3 linked regions of the Schizosaccharomyces pombe genome follow. Changing the gene in region 3 together with the main gene of any one other region gives a genetic interaction. Each region holds a gene or a part of one and is shown on either strand. Other genes may lie near its edges.

The links.
Region 1: mutations in SPOM_SPAP27G11.11C (region 3) and pca1 together harm fitness more than expected from each alone (negative genetic interaction), as found in Schizosaccharomyces pombe (one large-scale study listed by BioGRID).
Region 2: mutations in SPOM_SPAP27G11.11C (region 3) and ppk31 together harm fitness more than expected from each alone (negative genetic interaction), as found in Schizosaccharomyces pombe (one large-scale study listed by BioGRID).

Annotation. Positions count from the first base shown.
Region 1 is NC_003421.2:2,259,524-2,269,086, reverse strand, and holds pca1 (metacaspase Pca1), read right to left. Parts: upstream 5,121-9,563; coding exon 4,667-5,120; exon of another isoform or gene 4,621-4,666; coding exon 4,561-4,620; exon of another isoform or gene 4,520-4,560; coding exon 4,422-4,519; exon of another isoform or gene 4,395-4,421; intron 4,376-4,394; coding exon 4,352-4,375; intron 4,312-4,351; coding exon 4,143-4,311; intron 4,104-4,142; coding exon 3,631-4,103; 3' UTR 3,430-3,630; coding exon of another isoform or gene 1,817-3,429; 3' UTR 1,782-1,816; downstream 1-1,781. Other genes in the region: F0-ATPase delta subunit atp5, read left to right, coding at 1-117, 193-203; pgm2 (phosphoglucomutase), read left to right, coding at 1,167-1,217, 1,280-1,379, 1,817-3,429; karyopherin/importin beta family nuclear import signal receptor Sal3, read right to left, coding at 5,518-8,805. UniProt on the Schizosaccharomyces pombe protein: Involved in cell death (apoptosis).
Region 2 is NC_003423.3:1,210,202-1,219,575, forward strand, and holds ppk31 (serine/threonine protein kinase Ppk31), read right to left. Parts: upstream 5,721-9,374; coding exon 2,622-5,720; 3' UTR 2,489-2,621; downstream 1-2,488. Other genes in the region: 2-hydroxyacyl-CoA lyase Hac1, read left to right, coding at 1-425, 477-521; npp1 (nucleotide pyrophosphatase), read right to left, coding at 694-2,151; peroxisomal targeting signal receptor Pex5, read left to right, coding at 6,818-8,614; pir2 (C2H2-type zinc finger domain-containing protein), read left to right, coding at 9,308-9,371. UniProt on the Schizosaccharomyces pombe protein: Has a role in meiosis.
Region 3 is NC_003424.3:1,627,732-1,634,526, reverse strand, and holds SPOM_SPAP27G11.11C (uncharacterized protein), read left to right. Parts: upstream 1-3,323; coding exon 3,324-3,346; exon of another isoform or gene 3,347-3,398; intron 3,399-3,428; coding exon 3,429-3,627; downstream 3,628-6,795. Other genes in the region: SPOM_SPAP27G11.12 (uncharacterized protein), read right to left, coding at 1-2,082, 2,133-2,165, 2,318-2,360, 2,440-2,459; SPOM_SPAP27G11.16 (uncharacterized protein), read right to left, coding at 2,930-3,244.

The sequences.
Region 1 (9,563 bases), on a different chromosome or scaffold from region 3:
TGGTTAGCAATAAAGTTACTCCTTCTATCATCGGTGGACTAATTGTTGAAATTGGTGATAATATTCTTGATGTCAGTGTTGGTTCTCGTCTCAACAATTTGAACAAGCTCTTAAGTGGTAGGTTTTTTTATTATTTTTTAATATTTTTTCATGATTCAATTTTAATTTTTTTTACATGCTAACCATTTATAGAACCTATTTAAGGCTGTTTTAATGCAACAGCGTATCCTTCGCCAAAACCCAATCTTTATTCTCTTCTCATTCTAAACAGGCTTGAATTTCCTCTTATTCGTATTTCTCTTTCTTTGATAGGTTTTAATGAGCCATAGTACGTATTACATAGTCAATTGAAACTATGGTCATCATGTTTGCCTTACCTCCTCAATATTTCAGTTTCATTTATGTATGCTGTTATCAACTTTATGAATGCTATTTTTTCATCATCGAATAGTAGATCTTTGAAAACTTAGTTCCTGGTTATGGAAAAGGTGTGATTAAAGCCACAAATGTACTAACACTAATTTTCTTATCGTATCTCAAAGCTTGGAGTGATCCAGTACTTAAAACTTTAAACCATTCCATACTTAACCCGTTCAGTTTAGAGAAGTTGTACTTGATGGTATTGATTTTCAATCTCATCTGCATAACATAGATTGAGATTTATGAATAAACGTGTTGAATTGAAACCTGGGATATTCTATAAAAAGTTAACATCAGTTACTGTTGTTTATTAGTCAAGAGCTTCAAACCTTTTCGGTTCAATGACACATTCCGACAAGCAATTTTTAGACAAGAACGTCGCCAAGCCTAAGTGAATCCCATTGTCCGACGCCTATTAATTAAAACGATTCAGCTTGCGAATTGACGTCAGGTCTTGAATTCTTCCAATTTCTCCTTTTTGTAAGCGGTATATATCGTAATTAACTGCTGCTTTCAAATTACTAGGCTTCTTTTTGCAGCTAATGTTTTAAGAAATTCTCTAGAATAATTGGAGGTCATGAGTATAATATTATTACTACTTTTTGTTTTTGAGTCTATTTTATTAAAATCATTTTTGTAAGAAAACGGATACGAAATACCACGGCGTAAGGACGCGTTAAACGAGGTGATGAGATACGTGTATTGTGTGTGTAGCAAACAAATGGTAACAATTCCCATTTGGCAAGATGGATCCGATTTTGCAAGAATTAGTAGATGAGTGGTTCAAATTAGATCAAGTAAGTATTAGGACTATATTTACTATGGAAGTACTGTGGAACTAACAGATTGAACGCATTAGGATGAAACTACGAGGAATGAAGTTTCACAATTGATTAAGGCTGAAGATTATGCCACCCTCAAGCAAATTATGCATCCAAGGATTGGATTTGGTACATCTGGTATGTTTTTATTACAAAAGAAGAAAAAATTGAGATTGTTAAGAGATATTTCGCAAGTTGAAGTGGATTGAAAGAGAACGCTAAATAATGCCTCTTTCTTAATAAAGAATTCTCAGTGCTACAGCCGGTAGCTTAAACTACTTTATTGTGTTTTCCTTGATTAGAGTCGAAGTGATATACTTGATCATCGGTCACTTTCCTTACTGCGTATACTAATTTATTGTGATGATCATATTGGTCATATTTCAGAAAGAGTTTTTCGTTCTTCTTCTTCTTTTCTATCTGTTTTGGTCTTTTTTGCTTGGAATGTTATATAACGTGCTTGTACGAAATTGGTTTAAGTGTAATTAGATTTTCAGCTTGCGATTGTTCTCTCTATACATCTTAATGTTTTAACATTATCAAGTTCGTTTATTCATTTACTAATGTTTACAAAGGTTTGAGAGCTGAAATTGGTGCTGGCTTCGCTCGCATGAACTGTTTGACCGTGATTCAAGCCTCACAAGGCTTCGCTGAGTATTTGCTTCAAACCGTACCATCAGCTGCAAAGCTGGGTGTGGTAATTGGACACGATCATAGGCATAAGTCTAATACTTTTGCTCGACTTACTGCTGCAGTGTTCTTGCAAAAAGGATTCAAAACGTATTTCTTCGATCATCTTGTCCATACCCCTTTAGTCCCTTTTGCCGTTAAAACCCTAGGGACTGCAGCTGGTGTTATGATTACTGCTTCCCATAATCCCGCAGCTTATAACGGATACAAGGTCTATTGGGGAAACGGTTGTGCTATCATTCCTCCCCATGACAAGGGAATTGCTGCATGTATAGAAAAAAACTTAACGCCCATTACTTGGGACAAAAATTTGGTTGAAAATCATAAACTAGCAGATCGGGATTTTGCAGTTGGTCTTTTAAAAAACTATTGGTCTCAGCTCCACGAATTCCATTCCGAAAACAACTTTTCCTTGGAAATGAAATCTTTGAAATTTGTTTACACTCCTATTCATGGCGTTGGATTACCATTTGTTACTTCAGCATTACACTTATTTGGCGAACAAGGCGATATGATTTCTGTACCTCTTCAAGATTCTCCAAACCCTGACTTTCCGACTGTGAAATTTCCAAATCCAGAAGAGGAGGGGGCATTGGATTTGGCTTACGAGCAAGCTGATGCTAATGGTATTTCGTATGTCCTTGCAACTGATCCTGACGCAGATCGTTTCGCCTTTGCAGAAAAAATTAATGGTGCTTGGAGAAGATTTACCGGAGATGAAGTTGGTTGTATCCTTGCCTATTTTATATTTCAAGAATACAAAAACGTTGGAAAGCCAATTGATGATTTTTACGTTTTGTCAACTACTGTCTCTAGTGCTATGGTAAAGTCCATGGCCAAAGTAGAAGGATTCCATCATGTTGAAACACTTACTGGATTTAAGTGGTTAGGCAATAAAGCATTAGAATTGGAAAAACAAGGGAAATTTATTGGATTGGCATATGAAGAAGCTCTTGGTTATATGGTAGGTAGTATAGTTAGAGACAAAGACGGGGTTAATGCTTTGATTACGTTCCTTCATCTTTTGAAACGCCTTCAACTTCAGAATCTTTCAATTACCGAGGTTTTTGAGCAAATGTCTAAAAAATATGGTTATTACACTACGCAAAACTCATATTTCCTTTCACGCGACACTCCCAAGCTTCGTGCTTTGGTTGATGCCTTGAGACATTATGACACAAAATCGGGTTATCCGGCAACCCTTGGTAGTAAGAAAATTACAAATGTTCGCGACCTTACTACAGGTTACGACTCAAGCTCCACGGATGGTAAAGCTACTTTACCAGTTTCAAAAAGTTCAGATAACGTAACGTTTGAGCTTGAAAATGGAGAGGTAATTATGACTATTCGCACAAGTGGTACAGAGCCGAAACTTAAGTTTTATATCTGTGCTCGCGGACATTCGCTTGAAGATTCCATAAAGAATGCTACAGAAGTTAAACAGGCTATCAAATCTGAATGGTTTCATCCCCAACAGAACGGACTGGAAGAGCCATGAGTTTTCTCGCGTGTATAATTTTAATTTGAGCTCGTTTTTTAAGCAAAATTATAAATTGCAAACAAAAATATTTCAATAAAGTATTAGATATGATTTCCTGAGTTGTTGTGATTTAAATTTTATCCTTAATTGAAAATTCCTTAAATATCTGATGGAACTACAAAAATATAGAACTTCAATGATCAAGTAATGTTTAGTGTACTATAAAACCATGGCAAGATTCATGTCTAAAGGATGACTACAACTTAATTGGGGCAGTTGTGAGTATTTGTTGGAAAGTACTTGTCGAATACCTCTCAGCAACTGCAAGTAGCTAAGTTGGGGATTTTGAGTGACGACTTCACGGAAGGCGTATGATAAAGCACCAGTAGCGAATCCATTAACACTTGTATCTGCGCTTGTTTGATTATCTTTGCATCCGGATAAAGAAATAACATCAGCAGGAGAAAACTTAACTTGTCTAGAGTACTGTAGAGCGTTGTTATTAAATCCATTGGTAGCACTGGTAAATATATTTTTCACGTTGTTGATAGCTCCCATAATGTCGCCAGAGGCATAAGAAAGGCCAGCATGAAGTACATCCATACCAGATTCTTTTAACATATTTGGCTCCTTTAGAACGCCCTTGGTAGAGTACGTGAAAGGAAGATCGAGAGCTCCACCTGAATGACAAGCTATATTTTGTTAAAAATAGATTAAAATCACTGACTTACAGTCAAAGAGAGCTGTTAAACGACATCCTGCTGGTAAAGGCTTAACCATTATTTCGTGCATTTCATCATCTATAATTTGCCCGGCATATTGATGGTCCAGTGGATATATCGTTTCATCATAACCATCAACTTCGTCTCCATCAAGGTCTTTTGTTTGCCCTCCGTGGCCCTATGCATGTGAGTATGAGATGTAAAGTGATGATTCTTACACTATAGTGAAAAAATAATGCATCCTAAATAGTTAGCATTAGGAAGTAAATCCCATGACATATAACTTACATTAGGTTGGGCATCACTTACTAACCATCTCATCGCATCTAACATATTTTGACGAGTGGGAATTGCCCTTTGGTTGCTTGCCGTGTCTGTCATAATAACTAAAAAAGTTTTAGCAAGATGTTCTCGTAATCAACCATACCCATATCTTCTTGCTTGTAACCGTAGCGCTGTATCAGCAGTTGGGACATAGACATGACATCTTAAACAAGTTAATATATGTTTACTTGACCTTTCGCATTCCGTACCATTAATGCAACCTTGCAACTCATTTTGGGTATTGAGATAGTTAATTCCGATCAGCAAAGCCTTTCGCTTCCCTTGGCAAGTTGAATACTGATACTGAAAGTTTCCTCCTCCTGCTAAGTTATAAGATTGAGTCTGAGTGTTTGGCAGCTGAGGCCCACTATAATTTGGGTTGCCATAAGAATTAGCACCAGTATTCGGAGGCGGACCTGAGGGTGGGGCATAAGCATGGGAGTTTGCAGAGCTCAAACTTATATGACCAACATTCTCCATAGGGATTTGATTAGAATTGCCGTCTGTCTGAGGCCTTGTGGAAGGGGGTGGCATACGTGGAGGCTGATATTGATGTACAGTGTTATTACTTTGAGAACCATTATTTGGTGAATAATTAGGTCTAGTATATGTATTATATGGTGGATATTGCCCACCGTTATAAGGATTGGAGTTGTAGCTCATGTTGATGGGAAGTTGGATAGTGCTTAACTATGCTACTTTCAATAAAATACCAGATCTCACAGGTTATAACTAAAGCAAAATCAATTTGACTACAGTATATACATTTAAAAAAAAAATTAATTGCAAAAGATGCGAGCAATATATTATAATCATACCACACATCAAAACGTATTATACACGAAAGAGCTGCTACACGAAGAAATAATTTAATACGATGAAAAATCAAGTAATGTATAAAGCAATAAGTGAAAACCTAGCCGGCATAGTCTAAAAAGAGTGAAACAAAATCCGAAGATTGTTGATGGATTAAATAAAAACCTAACCTAACCTAAACTAACTAAAGCATTTTGAGGAACCAAAGAAAATATTGAAAGACTTAGAGTGAAAGAAATGAAATTTAAAAATGTGCAGACAAAGCTCTCTGATTATCGACACTCAAAGTGGCAATGACAGAATTAACTTGATCAGCAGGGAAACGAGCTAAGTAAACCTTCGAAGCTTCCATCAAACGTGTCAAAGTTCTTCCACGTAAAACTCCAGATGCAAATGTTTCTGCTAAAATCGTAATAATCGTTGGCATTTGTGAGGCAACGGCCACGTGATTTTGTTCCATCAATTCCGCAAGGAAAGTGTAAGCATAAGGAGCGTCATCTTCATCATGTGTTACAGGAAGTGTATTAATCCAATACGTTACAACTTTGTCAAGATCCTGAACACGTTGGCTACAAAAGCGGCAAATTTTGCATATCGCAACACAAATATTTTCTGTGGCATAAATTTGTTCTTCATCACGGGCATCAGGAAGCTCGAGCATCTTAAACAATGCGGGCAAAGCACTAGAGCAGATTTCAGCATACAACTCTCCTCCATGCTGAGCGGCTACTCCAATACCGTACGAGGCAGCTTGTCGAATTTCTGGTTCGCTACTTTGAATACCTTCAGCTAAGTAAGGCAAAAAGTGATCCTTGTAGTTCCAAGAATCGGGTCCAGTAAATTCAATTAAGTCATCCATCATGCATAGAGCCCATTGCTTAGCTACAGTGTCGTTTCCAGACAAAAAGCCATCCATGTACGGTAGTAGCCTTTCCCAAAAAGGGCAGAAAGCAGTTTTGTGAATTTTTAATACAACACTAAAAGTCTTGTTTATTTCGTTTAACAAGTTTTGATCATTTTCGACTGCAAGAATCATGTCCTCATCTTCTTCAATATCTATGTCACCATTTTTAGCCTCCTCCTCACGCTGCTGCACGCGAGAAATGAATCCTTTGAGCTGCAAATCAACGGCAGCAACGAGTGCTTCCATCGAAGAAGGACTCAGATTCAAGCCGCTGATTTCCAAACTTTGATAGAAACATTCAAAATAGTCGGCAAGCATTTCCACGCTTGGTTCATTTTGTATATGATCCAACAGCTTTCGTAAAATAGGCTCCCAAAGCTCATTGACTTTAGCTGGATCACGATTGCTAGCTAAAATCCGAGCGTTCAATAACTGAGGAATACACTTACAACAAGCAGAACGAACCCCGTCGTGAAAGAAGAACTTCAATCCTGGAAGTACAACAGATGTCAAAACTTCATTGACGTAAGGATCAAAGTCAGCTTTTAACTCAGCAGCATAGCAGACAAGCATTTCGGTGGCAGTACACTTGTCTTCTAACGTACTAGTCCTAATACCAACCTGTTGACCATGAACGGGAATGAACTCCCAACCATCTTGTTCAGAATATTTGCTTTCATCAACCTCGTCGTCTATAATTGTGAAGTCAGGTTTCGAGGTAGCAGCAACCAACAGAGGAGGCATAACTGAACTCAAAAATGGGACAAAATCGCTTCCTAAAACACGGCAAATTCTTCCCCAGGCAGAGATGAGATAACTAGCTTGAGGATCATCACTGTCAGTAATACCCATTTGAATGTTACCTAAAATTTGGATTAATTCCTGAGATACAGGAAGGAATCGTTGTTTACCAACAGCTAAGGCAATTAAAGTAGCACATTCCATAGTTTTACCGCGAAGGGTTCTAAACTCCTTGCCGTCAGCTTGTTGCAGAACATTAAACAATAACGGCATGATGGCATCAAAATATTTTTCAAATTTTTTAGCTGCAGCGTCAGCAACTGTAGCTATAGTGGTAACGGCTTGTTCCTGCACATATCGCTTAGGGCTTTGTAACAAGGTAAGAAGGCGTTGAAGGATATCATCCAAGTAAGGTTCGAGAACCTTGTTGTCGGCCTCTTCAGAGAAATTAACCATTGCAGCAGCAGCATGAGCTTGAACACGGGATTCTGGAGACTCCAAAACAGGTACCAATGCCTCGAGGATGCGAGAAGGATACTTGACTTGCATGTCAGGAGCAAAATCTGTAGACATTTGGCCTACAGCATTGCATGCAGCCCATCGAACACGGGGGTGAGGGTCAGCTAACAAAGGAAGTACCATATCTAATACACGACTAAGCTCTTTTTTCATTAATTTTTCAGCACCTTCGGCAATTGATGAGATGGCCATAAGGGCAGCATGACGTTCAGACCATTTTTGAGACGGGATCAATCTAGGAAGCCACGTGAAAGAGGGAGGAAGAATTGTTTTTCCGCCCAACTTTCTAGAAAGTCTATCCATGGCTTGTTCCGCGACAACATGGTTAGCATCACTTTCATCCTGATCCAAATCGTCCGTGTTCAACCATTCTTGAAGTTCTTCTGCCTCATCCTCAGGATCGCCAGCGACATCGGTCATTAGCAAGAGACATTGAAGTACAAGTTGATCAGTGTAGTCGGAAGATTTCCTACACATAGCAGGGGCACCCTCCGAAAAACAAACAAGCAATTCAAGAGCAGCTTGGCGAGCGGAATTATCCAGCTCCTTGTCCTTAATGATACCAAGACCAAATGCGATGACGCTCTCAAAAATAGGTTTGAATAACTTTGGGAAAACTTCGGCGATTTCAGTGATGGCCATAAGACAGTCCGCCAAATTATCAGAATCACGATCTTGTTGCAGAGGGGGAAGGATGTTCATGAGGCTAGGTAAAAGAGGAATAACCTGATCTCGAGTGGATTGTTTGCTCTCAAGAATAACGGCAGAATAGGCACGAGCGGCAGATATTCTTACACGGATACTAGGATCAGCTAAACCGGTGGTAAAGAGAGGAGTAACAGCACTATCTTGACCTGACAATAAACGAGGTAAAGAAGTGATGGTACGGAAAACTGATTCACGAAAAGACTCATCAGGAGAGTTAACAGCATTGAAGATAACGTTAATGAGTTCTGGCCATTCGCCTTGACAATCATAGATAGATCGAGCAATCTCGGCGATTGTGTCACAAAGCTTATTACGAACAGTGGGAACTGACTCCTTAACAAAGCAAGCTAGAAGTTGACTTTGCAAAGACTGTTTGGACTCATTTGAAATGCTAGAGAACACTTCCAACTCACTGTCTCCTGGTAAGGTGCGAAAGGAAATACGACGGCAAAGAACTAAACAAAAGGAGCGCACAGCTGGGTCCTCACTTTGATAAGCTAAAATCGCAAGGCCGTTTAATAATAAGTCAGCTCTTTGACTTATCCAGTCTGAGCTAAGAGACTTTTCAGCATCATTTCGGACAGTATTGTCAGGCGACGAAAGGCCTTGAACTAAATTTAAAAGAGGAGACAATACTTCAGGAGGAAATCCACTAGACATGATATTAAAAAAAAATGAGCAATCAGAGACGTGGATTTTGCAGTTTTAGAGGAAAAAGGTAAATAAACTTAAATACAACTTTCTCGTTCGGTCAGAGGCTGAGGTACCAAGAATGTTTTGGGCTGTAAAAAATGGTAATAAAGGCCGAACTTCTAGTATTAACGAGTGAAGCAAGTTTTATCTTTTATAATACCTAAATTAAGCCAGCGATACTATACAAAGTAGAAGTGCCAACTGTCTACACTAAGGGAACCCCAAGGGCAGATGGAGAAAGGAGTGTATCGACTTGTGGTGTAGTGTATTACATGAATCGCATCAAATTTTTAAAGTAATGTTGCGCATCGTTTTTTTAATTTATCGCAACAGTGATAATTTTTACCAAAAAAAAACACTATTCTTGTAAACTACGTTAACTTTACATAGTGTTCTACAAGGATTGTAAATTCGTATAAGGAAAATTTGTGATTTCGTTTTCAAATCACAAAAAAATAGAATAGTTTGGATTATGAAGTATGTTTTAAATTTGTAAGTTTTTATTTTCTTGTCTTTTTTTTTTAATTCCACATTATTGAATGAACGCATTTTACCATTCCAGCAACTTAAAATCCGTTCACATTTCGTTTTCCCATTGAATTATTGATGAGTGTGATGAACAGAAAACAAAGTGTCATGCTCATTAAGGTTTTCATATTTTTCTTATTAGACTCACAATTACATACACTAGTAGAGACAGGTATGGTGAATGAATTGCTAACATT
Region 2 (9,374 bases), on a different chromosome or scaffold from region 3:
GACTGGATGCAGGCACTATGTCAACAATGGGAGTTGGTATGGGATATGCTATTGCCAGCGCATTTGCCCATTCATCCGACAAAATAGTGGTAGTTGAGGGTGATAGTGCTTTTGGCTTTAGCGCCATGGAACTGGAAACCGCCATACGCAACCAGCTGGATCTTTTGGTAATTGTAATCAATAATAATGGTGTTTACCATGGATTAGATACTGATGCTTATGAAACTTTACGTGATAATCACCAATTACCGACTACTGCCTTAGGCACTAGTATACGTTATGATCAAATTTGCGAAGCATGTGGTGGTAAAGGTTTCTTTGTAAAGAATGAAGAAGATTTGAGAAGTTCCCTCAGGAAAGCATGGCAAACCTCATCTGTATCTCTCATAAATGTTATGGTGGACCCGGAGGCTGCTCGAAAATTGGTAAGTATTAATGGAATGAATTAGGTATAAGAACAAGCTAACAATCACTAGACATTTGCATGGATGAGCAGTACCAAAGTGAAACCAAAGTTATGACCATCATTTAATTAAAAATAGAAGAAGTGATGTTCTTTTACGATTCTTAAAAATCGGAATACAGTTATTGTTGCTATTCAAATAAAGTCGTTTATTAAAAAAAAGTATTAAATATAATCTAAAGGAAATTAAAAATATTAAAAAATATAAAGATAGTGATAAAACAGCAGAATTAAATAAGCTTAGAGTATGCTTGTTCTATGTCCTTCAGCAACCATTCCTTAGTAGAATTACGATTTCTTCTTAAAGGTAAAGCACCTTCATATGTACCATTATTAGGCTGAGCTGGTAAATCTAATATATGCGAAAGAATGCCATAAATTTCGGTGTTCTGGAACGGTGCAAGCTTCTTTCCCTTAAAATTCTTAAAAGAAGATCCTGAAGCGATAAAAAGTGCTCTCATCACTGGAGACAAATTGTCATAACCATGTACACCCAAAGGCTCATACTCCAACTCCGGTGAATGATCCAGCATCGAGACAAGAGACCATCCAACATCCGGGATCATCCAAACGGGAGCTATTCTTTCATTATTTGAGTAATGCCATCGAGAAGGTATATCTTTCTTTGAATAAACATTCCAATTCTCAGCAGAAGGTAATGACGAGCGAGAATAATTAACAAGACTTTCGTAAATGTACTCATCATCTAAATCAGATTCTCCTCTAAAACCTCCTAACGGCCAAGCATCTCTGTGTGCAACGGCAGACAAATTAAACATATTATCCAGCCAGATAAGACGATTATCGGATGTAGGCGCCATTCCATGATCACTTAAAAAAATAATGTTGACATGCTTATCGATATTTCTTTTCTTCAGTCCTTCAATTAGTTCACCAATTACGATATCAACTTCTTGAATTATGATATTCAGTTCAGGCGAATCCGGTCCAAATGCGTGCCCAACCATATCTACATGGGGAGCATAAGCAAGTAATAACTGAGGGCGGTCTTTATCAGGAAGATCCAGCCATTCGAGTATTCTATCTTTCTTTTCTCTTAGAGTCGTATCAAAATTGAAACCATCCGAATAAGTAGGTCTGTAACCATGATTCTCCACTTCATTTCCAGGCCACATATGTACCGCTGATCGAACGTTATTTCGCTCAGCGTTGACCCATATAGGCTCCCCTTTATCCCACCAAGTTGGGTCTTTGTTACATTCAGGCATACTGTTGACAAATTGCTTCCCAGTTACAGGATCAAAAAAGTTGTTACTAACGATTCCATGGCTCTCGGGATATAAACCGGTAACAATAGTATAGTGATTAGGGAAAGTTATACTAGGAAAAGAAGGAATCAAAAAGGGAACATGGACATTACGTTCAGCCAGGCTCAGAAGATTAGGTGTGAACCCACGATATAAGTAATCAGCACGGAATCCATCCAAGGAGATTACGATGACAGTGGACTGAAAAACATTGGTCCCATTGTTGAAGGAACCTCCAACGATAGGAAAAATAATTGCTTTGAAGCAAAATAATTTCACAATTGCCAATATCAGAATTCCTAAAATGCAAATAGCGGCAATTGCTAGTCCCGATCGTTTTGCCCATTGATTCAAATAAGCCTTTCGATCATTTTTCAAAGGCAAATACTCGTTGGACCCAATATTAGCCCAACTAAACATTTCGGCGAATGTTCAAAATCAATGATATAAAGGAGTATTGTTAGGTATATCATATAATCTGTCAAATAATACTTACTTGAATAACGATGCGAAAAATATTGTTAAAATCATTTAACGCTTTCAAAGATATGCGGTAAACACTTTGTTCTAACTTACTTCAATTCGTAAACTATTCAGTCCTCTTAAATGTTCTGTCGTATAGGAAATGTCATCCTTTGAAACGTTTAGTGAAATGAGATAGCTTTTTTTCATATATGAAATTCAACTATTAATAATATTTGGATTCAAGGAGGAAACATCAACTTATGTTAGAAGCATTATTTGGCTAAAGCCTCAGAATAAAAGATTTTGTAGAACAAGTTTATTTGTCTTTTTACTGTTTCTGTATGGAAATATTAATTAACCATTTTTCAACTTATCATGATTCGTTCTGGATAGCGAACATGTTATGTCTATGGTTTTACATGATGTTAAAATAAATGGTAGCGATACTTTTTGTTAGGTCGTTTCTGAATTCGAAATTTCTCTTTATTTCTTTGTTGATTTTTGGGGAAATCGACCTCATCATACATTCGCAAAAGCGTGGCTTTGTTGTTGTAATTAAGGGCCTTTAAGTCTATTCCCTTAAACGCTTTGGTTATTAGTGAAAAAAGATCTTTTCGTTTTTGGTCTGTTAAATTTGTGGTCTCCTCCTCGGACGCAGAGAAAGCAGCTGAGTTTGAGGTTTCAGTACCACTGTCAGCTGGTGTTGCTTTTGGAGGAGGATGAAAAGCAAAAATACCATTTAGAATTAAAGTTGCTGACGTCTGACAATTATTTTTATTAATATTATCCGAACCGCTTATGTTTTTTTCAAAGTACGTCAAATCTTCAACATTTTCTGTTTGTGGAACGAACGGACCTGGCCCACTATTTAAATTATCCCATTTAATGGTTCGAAAAAAAGGATGTTTTTTGATTTCCTGGTATCCATTGCTACCCAGCCGTTTGTTACAGTCTGGATCCATGAGTTTGGTGATTAAGTCTACCGCCTCCTTTGAGCAGCTTTCTTTCACTCTTTTAGTCCAACCAATATCATTTCTCTCTATGCGAGCCCATATTGCTTTTACAGTATTTGCTTCAAATGGTCGCGTGCCAGTCAACATTTCGAATATCACACAACCCATCGCCCATATATCGCCCATCTGAGTATCAACGCCCATTAAAATTTCTGGAGCCATATAATTTGGCGTCCCTGAAATATCTTTTTTGATGAATGTCCGGTTTTCCTTTTTCTCTAACTGATTCATTAACATGTGTATTGCTGTTTCATCCATGTTATTGATATCAAAGTCAAGTAAATGCTGGACCGAGTCATTGGCATAATCACTATTTTGCTGTGGACTCTCCGCTTTCTCAAGCTCATCAATATTCCCGCGGTAATTTCGAACATATCTTACAAATTCGAATTTTTTAGGTTGAAGCTGCTCATACAAATTTCCATGTTTCTGTTCAAATGACATCCTCTTAGTAAGCTTATAAACCTCTTTTTTTTCCTCTACGTTTTCACTCAGTCCGAAGTCTGTAAGCCGAATATGTCCTGTTTCGTCAACCAACATGTTGGCAGGCTTTATGTCGTGATGGATGATTCCATCCTGATGCAAAAGCTCGATAGCATTTAGTAATTCAGCTGCGTACTGGCAAACCCATTGCTCTGGTAACGGTCCTAATTTTTGAATAAGTGTTTCACAATCTCCTCCATTAAAATAATCCATTACAAGGCATAGGTAGTCCCCAGAATCAAATGCATAATATAATTTCACTGTGTTTGGTCCATATCTTTGGATATGCATGTTACGCTTTTCAAGCAATAGTCCTTTTATTTTTTTTAAGCTATCAAGACTGGATTTTGGAATCATTTTAAGAGCAAAATACTTTCCTGAAGATCTTTTTTTAGCAAGATAAACCCTACCGTATGCCCCTCTGTTTATTTCTTTTAAAAGTATGAACTCGTCTAATGAGTGAGGAGTATTATCCCCAAATCTCCTATCATTATGGCTTGGGAACTGCATACTTTCGGTAAGAAAATGAACGATCGAGGCATAGAATTTGTTAACAAATTTCTGCCGATTTTTTAGAGGTCTCACATCCAGATCTTCAATTGATCCCTTTACCGCTTTAAAATAATCTATCCTTGTTGTTTTAAAGGTTTTAGACACAATTAAGTCTTTTTCTGTTAAGCGTTCTCCAATCTCAAAGTATTTTTTATGTCTTTTTATGGTAGATATACGTTCTGTTCGTTTCTGGATGTCATCGTAAATTGAATTATTATTTTCAACGTTCCCAAGGGCTAACAGCCTGTTGAAAAACACTGGTCTCTGTTCGGAAAGGTATTGGTTTACGCAAATTAGATTGGACAATTGAGCATTTCCAAAGTACAGACTTCCTTCGATGTTTTCCATCTCAATTGATAGCATATTCAAGGAGTACGTTTGAAGAAAATTTTTAACTTCATTAAACGTTGCTTGATACATTAAAATGTGATTACAGAGTTTTATTTTAGACGATAAATTTTTCAAAAGAAGTGAATGAACATCGTAAAAATAATCCTGGATCTTTGAGGGAACAAGAAAATCATACTCCCAATTCACCAATGATTTTTCATAAATCTCTCGCTTCATGTCTTTCGCGGCAGAATTTGAAATTGTCAAAAACGTTCGATGTTCTAAATAAGCAAAATTTTTAATGGATTTGTCCAGTTCCTTAACCAAAAAGTTCAGAGAGCTTCTCCATGATCGAATGCGAAACCTCTGTTTTCTGTTTTTCTTCCCGTTGAATACTGTTATGACCGGCAAGGAAAGAAAGGTTTCTTCAACCATATGATTACTACCCGTAGGGAGTTTGTTAACTATGTCTTCTATTTCCAGCTTCTTACAATTTATCAATTGTTGTACGGCGAAAACGCGGCGTACGAGATCATTCCAAACAAGGCAAAAATCGCTATGTACCTCAAAGTACCACTCTGGTAAATTATCTTCACACAACGAACATAATTTTCCTGAAGGAGGAGGAACGTGTATATAATTGTATTTGATTATTCCGAGCAAATGATCATGAAGAATGAAGGCACCAATCCCTAACGTGTTAAACAGGATGAAATCCATTTCGTTGATCACGGACCGTTGTGGATATAAATATTTTCCTGCCCACAAAACCCTTGTATCTTTACCATACAATGAGTCTACTAGAATGCCTCGAAAAAGCATTCTAATATACGTCTTTCCCTCAAATGGAGCTTTGGCTTGTTGAATATAATAATTAGGACTGCGTATTGGATTACATCTGAGAAAAGCAAAGACATGTGCAACTGATATGCTTTTTCTGAAAAGATTATCGGTTGCTTTCTTCATTAAGTGTTCATCATCGCTTTGAAGATACTCATAGAAACTACATTGAAATAAATCTCCTTCGTAGCCGATTAATTCAAAAAATGCAGGATTGGCATATTCCACTATTCCATTTTTTGACATTTCAATTTTCAGCAGAACTTCGTGGGAAAGTATCCTCTTCAATTGCTCTGGATTAGTCATTGTTTATCATAATTGAACACTTTAAGCTTCTTGGTATAAAAGAAATTGTATTCAAAGTTGTGTAAAATCAATGCAAATGGTTCTTACGCGATAGTTTTTCGGCAAAGACTTTTAATAGTTTGTAAGACTCGTATAATTTAAATACCTTTTTTTACTTATGAAGCGGAATTGTTGTTGTATACAATGTTTTCGTTATTATAACATCATCAATTTATTACTTGGCTTTATTAAATTCGCCAACTAATATGCTAATTCATAATGAGATCACAATTTGAACGAGCGATTTTTAGCACTTTAATTAGCGACAGGTTCTTTAACAAATATTTGTCGGATGTGAACTGTAGGTGGCATCAATTGGTATTAAGCAGAAAACAACCAAAACCATTGTTACAGCGAATATTGACTAGCGAAAATTAATTAGTTTTTTAATACATTTTATTGTGAGCGACAGAAGTATTTGGTGATTTAATTCATTTGGCGTTGTAATTTAGACAACAGGTGAATAAATAGATGTAGAGTTAATACTTCAATCCAACCCTTGGTTTAACTTTCTAATCACACTAATTTGAAAAGAACTTAGAAATAATATGGATTTTTTTCTCTGTATCATAAAGCTATGGTTTTAACATATGCAGCATGGTTTACAAAAGTATAATAAAATGTTGAAATCTAAATTCCTTAGTGGCAATAGATTAGTCTGAAAAAATAAAGAGAAAGTCTTTATTATAAATTGATATGGGTTAATGTGGTGTATTACAGAAGCGATTAATCTAACGTGCTACGCTCAGCATCTACATGAACTGAGCGCACTCATCTAAATATTTTTGTAATTGGTAATAAGCAGCAATACATGCCTGAGTTTATACGCAAGTTTTGTAACAATCATTGGTGCGATCAATTTTTGTTTTTTGGTTAGTTGCATCGTTACTTCTTCCGCTTTTTTGTTTTCATATTTTTGGTTTTTAAAACACATCGCAAATTCAATCAAGTTGCGAAATTTTTCATTCTTTGATATTAATTTTCTTACAACCTACTTAAAAAACTATTTCCTTTTGGTCGAGAGCCTTTATATTGGCTATAGTCTACTTTCTTCAAAAATGTCTGTTGAAGCAGGATGTTCAACGCTATCTAATCCTCTTAAGAAATTGACTTCCACAGCTGTTGTCAATAATTCAACACCTTCAGCTCAATATCGAAAACATTTAACCAAGTCTCAAAGTCGTACTTACGCTCCTTTGCAAACGCTGTCTGAGGATCAATTCACATCTTTCAAAAATCTCCAAGGAAACAATAGTCCTTTAGGTAATGTAGTTAAGAACCCAGTTAGCTTAAAAACTGGAAATCATACCGGCACAACTACTCGTGGAGGCTCGAAAGAAAATTGGGTACATTCTTTTTCTTCTCTTCAGCAGCAGAATAGTAAGTCGGCTTGGACATCAGAATTCTCTGAAGTATTTCTCAATTCATCTGAAAACGACCGTTTTCGAAACTTAAACCAACCTTTAAAACAATCTTTTTTTGGTTCCGCTGGACTAAATTTATCTTCAAATACTGAAATACCCTTACAAAGTTCTTTAGCTATTGACGAAACTGAGTTGGCTAAGAAATTTGAGGAAGCTTCTCAAATCTCCAATAAATTAGAGAAGGAAAAGGATGCTACTGGAAGTAAATCAATTGAGGAGCTATGGGAAGAGCATCAAAAGCAATTGAAAAACGCCGGGCTAGAGCCCGCAAGTTTAGAGGAATACCAGAAACAATGGGAAGATTTTTTAAAGTCAAACAATATTTCTGACGATCCTTACACTTCGTCTGTGAATAGCTTTGCTAATGATAATTTAGCTCATAATAAAAACATAGATCCTCAAATTTTCCAGCATAGCGATACTGATAACGTTGTTGAAAACTCTTTACAAACGGAAGATGTATATTCACAGAACCAAGATGAATCTTCAGAGGTTGTGAAAGAGCTAAACGGAATAGATCCATTTGTTGAAGCCATGAATTTAATAAAAAATGGAGGATCTATCTCGAAAGCAGCTGTGTTATTGGAACAATCTGTGAAAGAGAATCCACAGCACTTCGAGGCCTGGAAATGGTTAGGTCGCATTCATACTCTATTGGGAAACGAATCGCGGGTTGTTGAAGCCCTACTTGAAGCTGTCAAATTGGATTCAACCAATCTTGACTTAATGATGGATCTTGCTGTGTCTTATGTTAATCAGTCTCTAAATGTTCAGGCATTGGTTTGCTTAGAAGACTGGATAGTCAACAGTTTTCCCCAATACCGAAACAGGTTTGCAAAGATAAACGAAAGGTTTGAAGAGAAAGATTCTGCTAACGATCTCTTGAAAATGCAGATGTATTTCTTGGATGTAGCTTATGAGTTATCACTTGCTAAGAAGCGTTCCTCCAAGGTACAAGCTGGATTAGGAATAATTATGTATATGTTGAAGGAGTATGAGCGTTCTGCAGATTGTTTTCGGCAAGCTCTTCAAGACGAACCAAGTAACGAAATATTGTGGAATAAGCTTGGTGCTGCTTTAACAAATGCAGAAAAAAATACTGAAGCTGTTTCTTCCTATAATCGGGCAGTATCTCTACAGCCCCAGTATGTTCGAGTTCGCTCAAACATGGCTGTTTCCAACATCAATTTAGGATACTTTGAAGATGCTGCAAAACATCTACTTGCTGCAATTGATATTATACAAAACAGTTCTACCTCAATGGAGAGCTGCGAATCAAATGAGGAACTTTGGGAAATGCTTCGCAAAGTATTTTTGATTGGATTCCAAAGTACTGATCTTGCCTCTCAGTCCTATCCTGGAGCAAACACTAGTTATATACGAGCCCAGTTAAGTGATCTCCAAGGTTGGCCCGGTGTTGAGCTCGAATAAATCTCTTAAAGCAAACGTGCTTAATTCATTTTTCATGTTATTATTTATTTGGTTGTTTTTTTTTTTAAATTTTTTGTCTGAGGCATATCTTTTAGAGGACGTGCAAAAGCTACTTTTTTTTTGTTGCACAAGAAATGAGATAACTTACGCTTCAATATCTGAAGCAGAGAACAAAAGTAAAAGAAATCTTACTCTATGCTACCAAAGTTACTATTGGTATGCAAGTTGTACCTTTCTTGACCGTTTATACAATGGAAATTAGATCTTCAGTGATTTGAAAACAGATGTTATTGTTTACTTTTGTGAGAGTGCTTCTAAGCTCTTTGTAAGCACAGTTTTTTAAGTAATCCAACATTGTATTTATTGACGATAATGAGACAATGTTTAGTATTAATTGTTCAATAGCATTCGCATAAAATTCGAAGTCTCACTTTTTTGTTTAATCATTTGCTTTTATAATCTCAGTTTATTTAGATATACTGATGCGTATAATAAAGTATTTGACAATTTTCTATATTTTGAATAATGAAACTTAGTGTACCAGCATAAAGTGCTGTATGGATATTTCTCTCTCGTAAGAACATTCTTCAACTAAGCAGGTTGAGTACCAATTTTGACCCAATTGAAATCATTAGTTTTTTAATAAATTAATCCCGATTGCTGGTATTTATAGAAGGGGAACAGTGTCAAAATATGAGTGAGGTCCATCAAGAAAGTGAAGTAGAGTACAGTCGTTGGAAAAGAGAACGCTCTCCTGGTA
Region 3 (6,795 bases):
ATGACCGGCTTTCTTCATATCACTGATTTTGAGAGATAGGTCAGTGAAAATATCGAGCATAGTTCGGAAGTTCAGCGAAGGCCACCATTTATTCCACCATTCTACAGTCGGCTTAAAAGTGTAATCTACTGAATGAGCAATTGGCTCTACCTTCGCTTCGTCGGTATCTTCTAACGAACGGTCATTGCCATGGAGTGTGGCACTTTCTGTAAGAGCTCTATGTAATTGAGGACGTTGCTTCAACAATGGTTGGACAGGCCTACTATCCCTGTGAGTACGTAAAGAATTGGAGCGAAGTGCTTTATCGAATCCATCAGTAATTTCATCTTTGCTAGTAACGTCTTTGAGGTTAGTGAAACCAAATTCACTACTTTCTATAGGATAATATGGCGTTGGACTTTTTGACCTAACATATCGAAGTCGGCTTAACAATATGGAGTCAAACGCTTTTGAAGAAAATGTTTTACCATTGCGAGTCCAGTATGCAGAATCTCCTTCCGCGGATGAGTTTCTAACACTCATAATGGCATCAAACGATAAAGCGCTGACCGCTTCAATGTAATCTTTGTGCATTGAAAAGAAGTATAAGAGTGGTGCATTGTATTTTTGGGCATATTGAATTGCATTGTTGATAGCTCCTATAACATACTTTAAAATTTTGTGATTGACGTCGTTAGAAATTAAAAAGCCTGGATAGGAAGCAGATTGAAACAATTCAAACAAACTCTGGCTGGAATGTGAGTTTAAATTTTGCGCGTATAAACAAAGGTAGCAAAGCGAGCAGCAAAGCATTTGAGCAATCTCGGAATGATAATCTTTAGTATATTGCACTAGTAATGAAATTGCAATAATGGTAAAATCTGCGTAAGTACCACCTTCGAAAGGAACTGGCATGCTAATTGGTAAGGCGGTCTGCTGTTGAAATGGCTTGTTTAAGCGCTTACAAAAATATTTTTCAGCGGTCAAGCGCTTTAACAGAATTACACAAAGCTTTAAGTGGTTATAAGTCGAAGGATCTCCGAGATATTCAAAACTTAAATATAACAAAAATATAAACAAATCGATTGCTCGATCGGTATCAATAAGATAATGAAAAAACCTCTCGTTATAATGAATAAAAAGTTTGCAAAAAATTAATACAAGAGGGTAGTAGTCAAACATAATCAATGAGCTTCTTTTTGGAATGGTAGATTGCATAGGGGGATATAACAGTCTGCTCATTCCATCAAGGATGATTTGGAAATCTGAATAAGGTTGAAGTTTTGAAAGCAGAATGCTAAAATAGTTTTTTGGTAATGTGTTTTTTGAAGAACGGTAATTATTATAACAAGGAGTGCCGTTGTTGTTTTCTTCCGACATTAGTATGAGTAGGACAGAAAAACAATACTCTATCAAAGACATGTGAGCTACCGAGTTGTCAAGGGGAAGAAACTCAGGCTTCCAAAACATCGTATTGAAACGCATTGCTGTATTGATGAGAGAAGAAAGAAGACAAAGGACTAAGCGCCTGTTAGCTATTGAAGCAACATAAGCACAACAACTGCTTCCATTGCCATCTGTTCGATATATTTCCTCGGAAAATAATGAAAGTAAGAGTCGGAGGACTTCGACACGGTGAAGTTCGTACGAGCGCTCTTTCAACATTGTGGGATGATAAACTACCCCAGTTTCCCAAATACAGTAGTGAACTCCATGGGTAAGATCATTATGAGCAGGGATGGTAAAATTGATTAGGAACAGATAATCTACAACGGTGTTTAAAAAGCTTGCTCCTCGGGGTGTATTGATGTTCGGATCCTTTGGAACTGTCCACGCAAAATAGTCAAACCATTCTAACATTGACTTATCCTCAAATATAATTGGCATAAGCCTTGTCAAAAGTCGCATACAATTTAACGCGCATTTTGTAGTGGGAGCGGCGGGGTCATCAAACAATGTTTCTTTTTGTAGATCTTCTAATTTGTCCCAGAGTACAGCAATAATAGTTTGCAAATTTTCTGGAGCGTTGTCTTTAACTTTTGTCAAATCATCGATAGACATCAAATGAAACACGTCTTCGGTTGTTTCTGGAAGCGTCCAAAGCTAAAGATTATTAGTTAGCAAAAATATTCACGAATAAAGATCACACTTACACGCTCCCATATAAGGTCAAATTTTGGAATGTTCTGAATTGGTTAGTACACTTGAAATTTTCAATTATTTATGATTATATTCAAATTGAATTCACATTCATTAGCAGAGAATCCTAAGAATTGAACTTCGTATTCTCTGGCATTCACTGAATTATGAAACCAACCAAAAGAAAAATATTACCTACCCTTTCTTCGTGTAGTCGTAAAACCGCGTTCCTAAAGTCTAACCTGTAATTTGGTTAATAATGTATTGGTTCTTCCCCAAACCTACGGCAGGTTGAGAAATTGGACAAAAAAATAAACATACTTAGACTGTTGAGAACCCATCGAATGTGAAGGTGAAAAGTATGCATACAATCAAAGTGACACAGAGAGTGAACTGAAAAAAAAAACGATGAAAAATCTATGATTGCGAAATTTGTAAAGAGGGGAAAATGGTTGAGAGAGGGAGGAAACCAGGAAACAAGGTGATTATCTTATAGCCCAACGAAAACAATCGTCGGTTTCAGCGAAAAAAAGTACGAAAATACTCTTGTGAAGGATTTGGCTGAAGCAAAAAAGTTCTTCAAATTCAGTTTGCAAAGCACTTTTTGATAAAACTCAAATGACTTATGGAAGAGAGAAATACTAGTTAAGTACTTTTGAATAACGTTCCAGCACTAGTTTTCCCCCTCTTTAGTTTTTATAAACTAAACTTTCAAGCAAAGATGCAGCATAGGAAAACTGTAGATATCCGACCTTGAATTTTGTGAGACTCGTAGGTAGAAAAGAGAAGCCTATTGTGTCGCCCAGCGGGCTTAAAGACTAGGAGACTCAGAGGATTTAAAATTAAAGGATAGAAAAGATATTGAAAATGTAGTACTCCAAATCTTTTCAAATTCGCACTTTGAAGCCGCGATGATAAAATCTCGCAAAATTCTTAACGTGGTCGAAAATGACGAAAAAGCGAATGAGAATAAACGAACTGCAATTAAAATCCTATTCGATTTTAATTTTTCAATACTATAACAAGGATTACACTCAAAAAACACACTGCTACTACGTTCAGTAAAATTGGTGTTGTTTTCATGTAAGATTGCACCTTGCTTAAAAAACCGAAGGCATGACCCCATGTAAGGACTTGCCCCAGGTAACGTAATATCGACTGAATGCTACACCAAATTTTAAGACGGTAAGAAGCATTATGAAAATATGACATGCAATCATGAAAACCCGTATATAACTCACCACGGCAAAGTGCATCTTATAACTTCATAGAATTCACAGTCAATGAAATTTCTCTAATTTTTCCTTTAGCCATTTTTTGTTTAAAATTGATTCATATTCCAAGACATTTTTGCTCAGCTGTTATTGTGTTTCCATTTACAGGCTCGAAGAATGCTCGGGAAGGTTTAAACCATCTTCGTATTCATTACATCTTTTGAAATCACTATCAATCATTATCTGTGAAAATCCTAGTCAAACCTTCAATATTGGATTAAATCAACCGAAATGATTTTTACTCCCATTAAAATATCCAATACATTCGAGACAAACATGGTGAAAATAAATCGCTCATCTAATTAATTGAGTATCGCTTAATGTATCAAGTTGCAACACCGATCAATTGTTATTTTCTTAGTTCATGTTGGCAAGGCGGAACTTCTCTGTTGATCGATTTACATTCCGACTTTCCGTACGTGCGTGTTGTGCTGCTATTACGGTAGTAACAACGAGACTCGGAGCGATCGCTAGTAGTACTAACAGTAATTTTTGAACAAATCAGATATGAAGCAAAAGCGGCGGTAATTTCACTGAAGGAGCCAGGTGTTCTTGAGTCCGTGACTCAGATTACAGATATAGTCTTAAGTTTATTAATTTGAGGTTTATCATCTTCCAATGGTGAACGCCCACATCCTTTCCTTCTTTTGTCCTGAGCCAGCTTAAGCTTAAATTAAGCTGTAAGTGAATTTTCCGTTGGCAAAAGTTACATACATCAATTTCAGCCACAGTGAATTTATAATTTTTCCATTCGTTGTAAGTCGACTTGTCTATAATTCGGAATCGACTTTTTATCTACGTCTACTATCTTTATTTACTGTTCATTTATAATTACGACGAGCATCAAATGAATCCAAACCGTCAAGACGGCGAATAAGAAAAGAAACCTACTGTTCAAATTGTTTCCTCTACAGTAATATGCATGTGGAAAAAATGAACAGAAACATGAAATAATATTTATTTACTTGACAACAGTTTGAGATTACGATAACCCATGGTGTGTTGTTCTTTTTATGATTCGTAACTCTTTGTTATAACGAGCATTGTCTTATACTCTCAGGAGTGTGCTATTCATCTGAACGAGCCGATCTAAGTGCTTGTTCTAATAGCATTTTTATTTGTCTTACACTATGCTACGTTATTGCAAATTCAAGCTCTGCAAAGTGCGCATGCACGAACTGTACCGTAGGAGAACCAATCTGTATAGGTTCACAGGGTTGTTTCGGCATCTTTACTAATAAATCCTTGAAATCAACCGTTAGTTGGTGCTTCTAGCTAACCAAAAAGTCTTCCATGGGTGATTATTTACTGTAAGTCTTTGTTTATAGTGTCTTTGTTGTATCACTTTTTGTGTAGTTTTTAATTAACACTTTTTGTGCAGCTCTTGGTCTTGGATCTTAGATGCTTTTGAAACGTCTGATGAGAATTTATCACAAAATAAGTTTGAAGAGCTACTGGATGCTCGTATAGCTGCCTTTCAGCAAATCGAGAGTCCCGTAACAGGAACTCTCAACTCAAATAAAACCACAGAAGGCGAAGAAGCGAAGCTCTCTATTTATGATAGTAGTCATTCCATCTCGAAATCACAATTAGAAAGTGTAAAAAAGATATCAGACATTACGGGTTATAATGAGGCACAAGTCGCTTATGTACTTCTGGTGCATCAATATGAATTAAATACCCAATACTTCTCACAATTAGACAATGATTCTGTTCTTGCCCAAGAATTTCAAAGAAGATACTATGCTGAAATTATATCTTGCTGGAAAGTTTTAGCTTTCCTCTTACAAGCTTGTACCGATGCAGACAGCAAGTGGCATAAAATGGCTACCCGATTGATCGTATCGATTTTTCAAACAGCTCAGCGATCTGGAGAAAATGCACAAAGCACTACTCCTTCTATTTTCTGCGTCCGTATCATCGACTATTTAAGCAAGATGACTAGTCAAGCGGCGCCCGCTTCCTTAACATTTAATGGCGAAGAAGCTATCTCTCAATGGTATTTTTTTCATTTTAACTTACAGCTTCAACTTTTGCGGGTCATCTTTTTGTCGACTTATTCTCTAGTGGTTTGCAATTCAGAAATGGCTATATCCTGGTTCAATTGTATGAAAAAAACTAGGTATTTGCATGATCAGGAGTTTATGCATTTGGATATTGACACAGGGTTTTCTATGTGCAAAGAGATAACAAATGTTGCCATAATTATTTCCATCAACTTTATTTCATTAGAGAAACAGGTGCTTTCTTTTAAAGACAATCCTTCGTTCTTTATGCTCTCTGGCAATACCATAATTTCACTACACGATATGATTACTCAACTATCGAACGATTCAATTGGTGCCGCTGTATCATTGACATGGGGCATAGCTCTTCATCTTCTGAGCAACAGCCCAGATAACATACCTTTAATACAAAATTCGAGCGTTGTTTCTTCAAAGATTCTTCAAAATCCCCAAAATTCTTTTCAAGCATTAATTATTGCGGCCTTAAAATATGATCCATTCACTTTAATCCATAGGATCATTTCAAGTTTAGAGGACGATCCTTACATTGATGGTTACTCAAAAATAATGGCTACCCTTTTTTCTAGTGCAGTATCCTATGTTAAGTTTTCAGATTCAACAATGCTTTGCGCTACTACTCTCTTTAAGACACCTCAGGTTTACCAACTTTTTGAAAATAATGACAGTGTAACTCGTTTACTCAATTTTGCTCGGGCGAGATTTCCGTTCGAGTATTCTCAATTTGTGCTCTTGCTGATTCCCACCTTTGCATGCCTTACCAGTAAACAATTGGTATCTTCAGAGCTCTTGCACATGACGACTTTTACTCAATCTCTTCCCAGTGGATTCAAGGCTTACGAAATCATTCCAGAACCAAATGTTACTGGAAATGCTCTTATAGAACTTCAAGAAAGTTTGCATCTTGATTCGTATGGGTTCTTTTTTCCTAATGCTGAACGAAGCTTACCCAAAGGAACACGAGGGAGAATTGTTTCGGTTGACACCTATCCTCCTGTTGTAATGTGGGACTTAAATTATTCTTTATGGGAAGCAGTGGGAATTTCATTAAACTATATTGTTCGAAATGGGTTAATCAATTCCCATAAAAGCTTTGTATTAACTGTGCTATCTTCTTCTGTGCCACTATTCCAAACAGATGTTTCTGGCGCTTGTGAGTTAGTTCATCTAGCTTCTGAAGGTCTTGATGGTGAACTCGATTTTATTAATGTAATCTGTGATCTTTTGGATTACTTTCTTTCACTTTCCGTAATCGAAGATGCAGATTATCAGATTTGTGTATCATCTTTGCGACTGTTGCGTGAGTTTACACGATTTGCAGCTACTGATGTTTGGGCTTATGTTACTCGATCGTTGGTTTGTGTAGGTTCCGAAAAAGG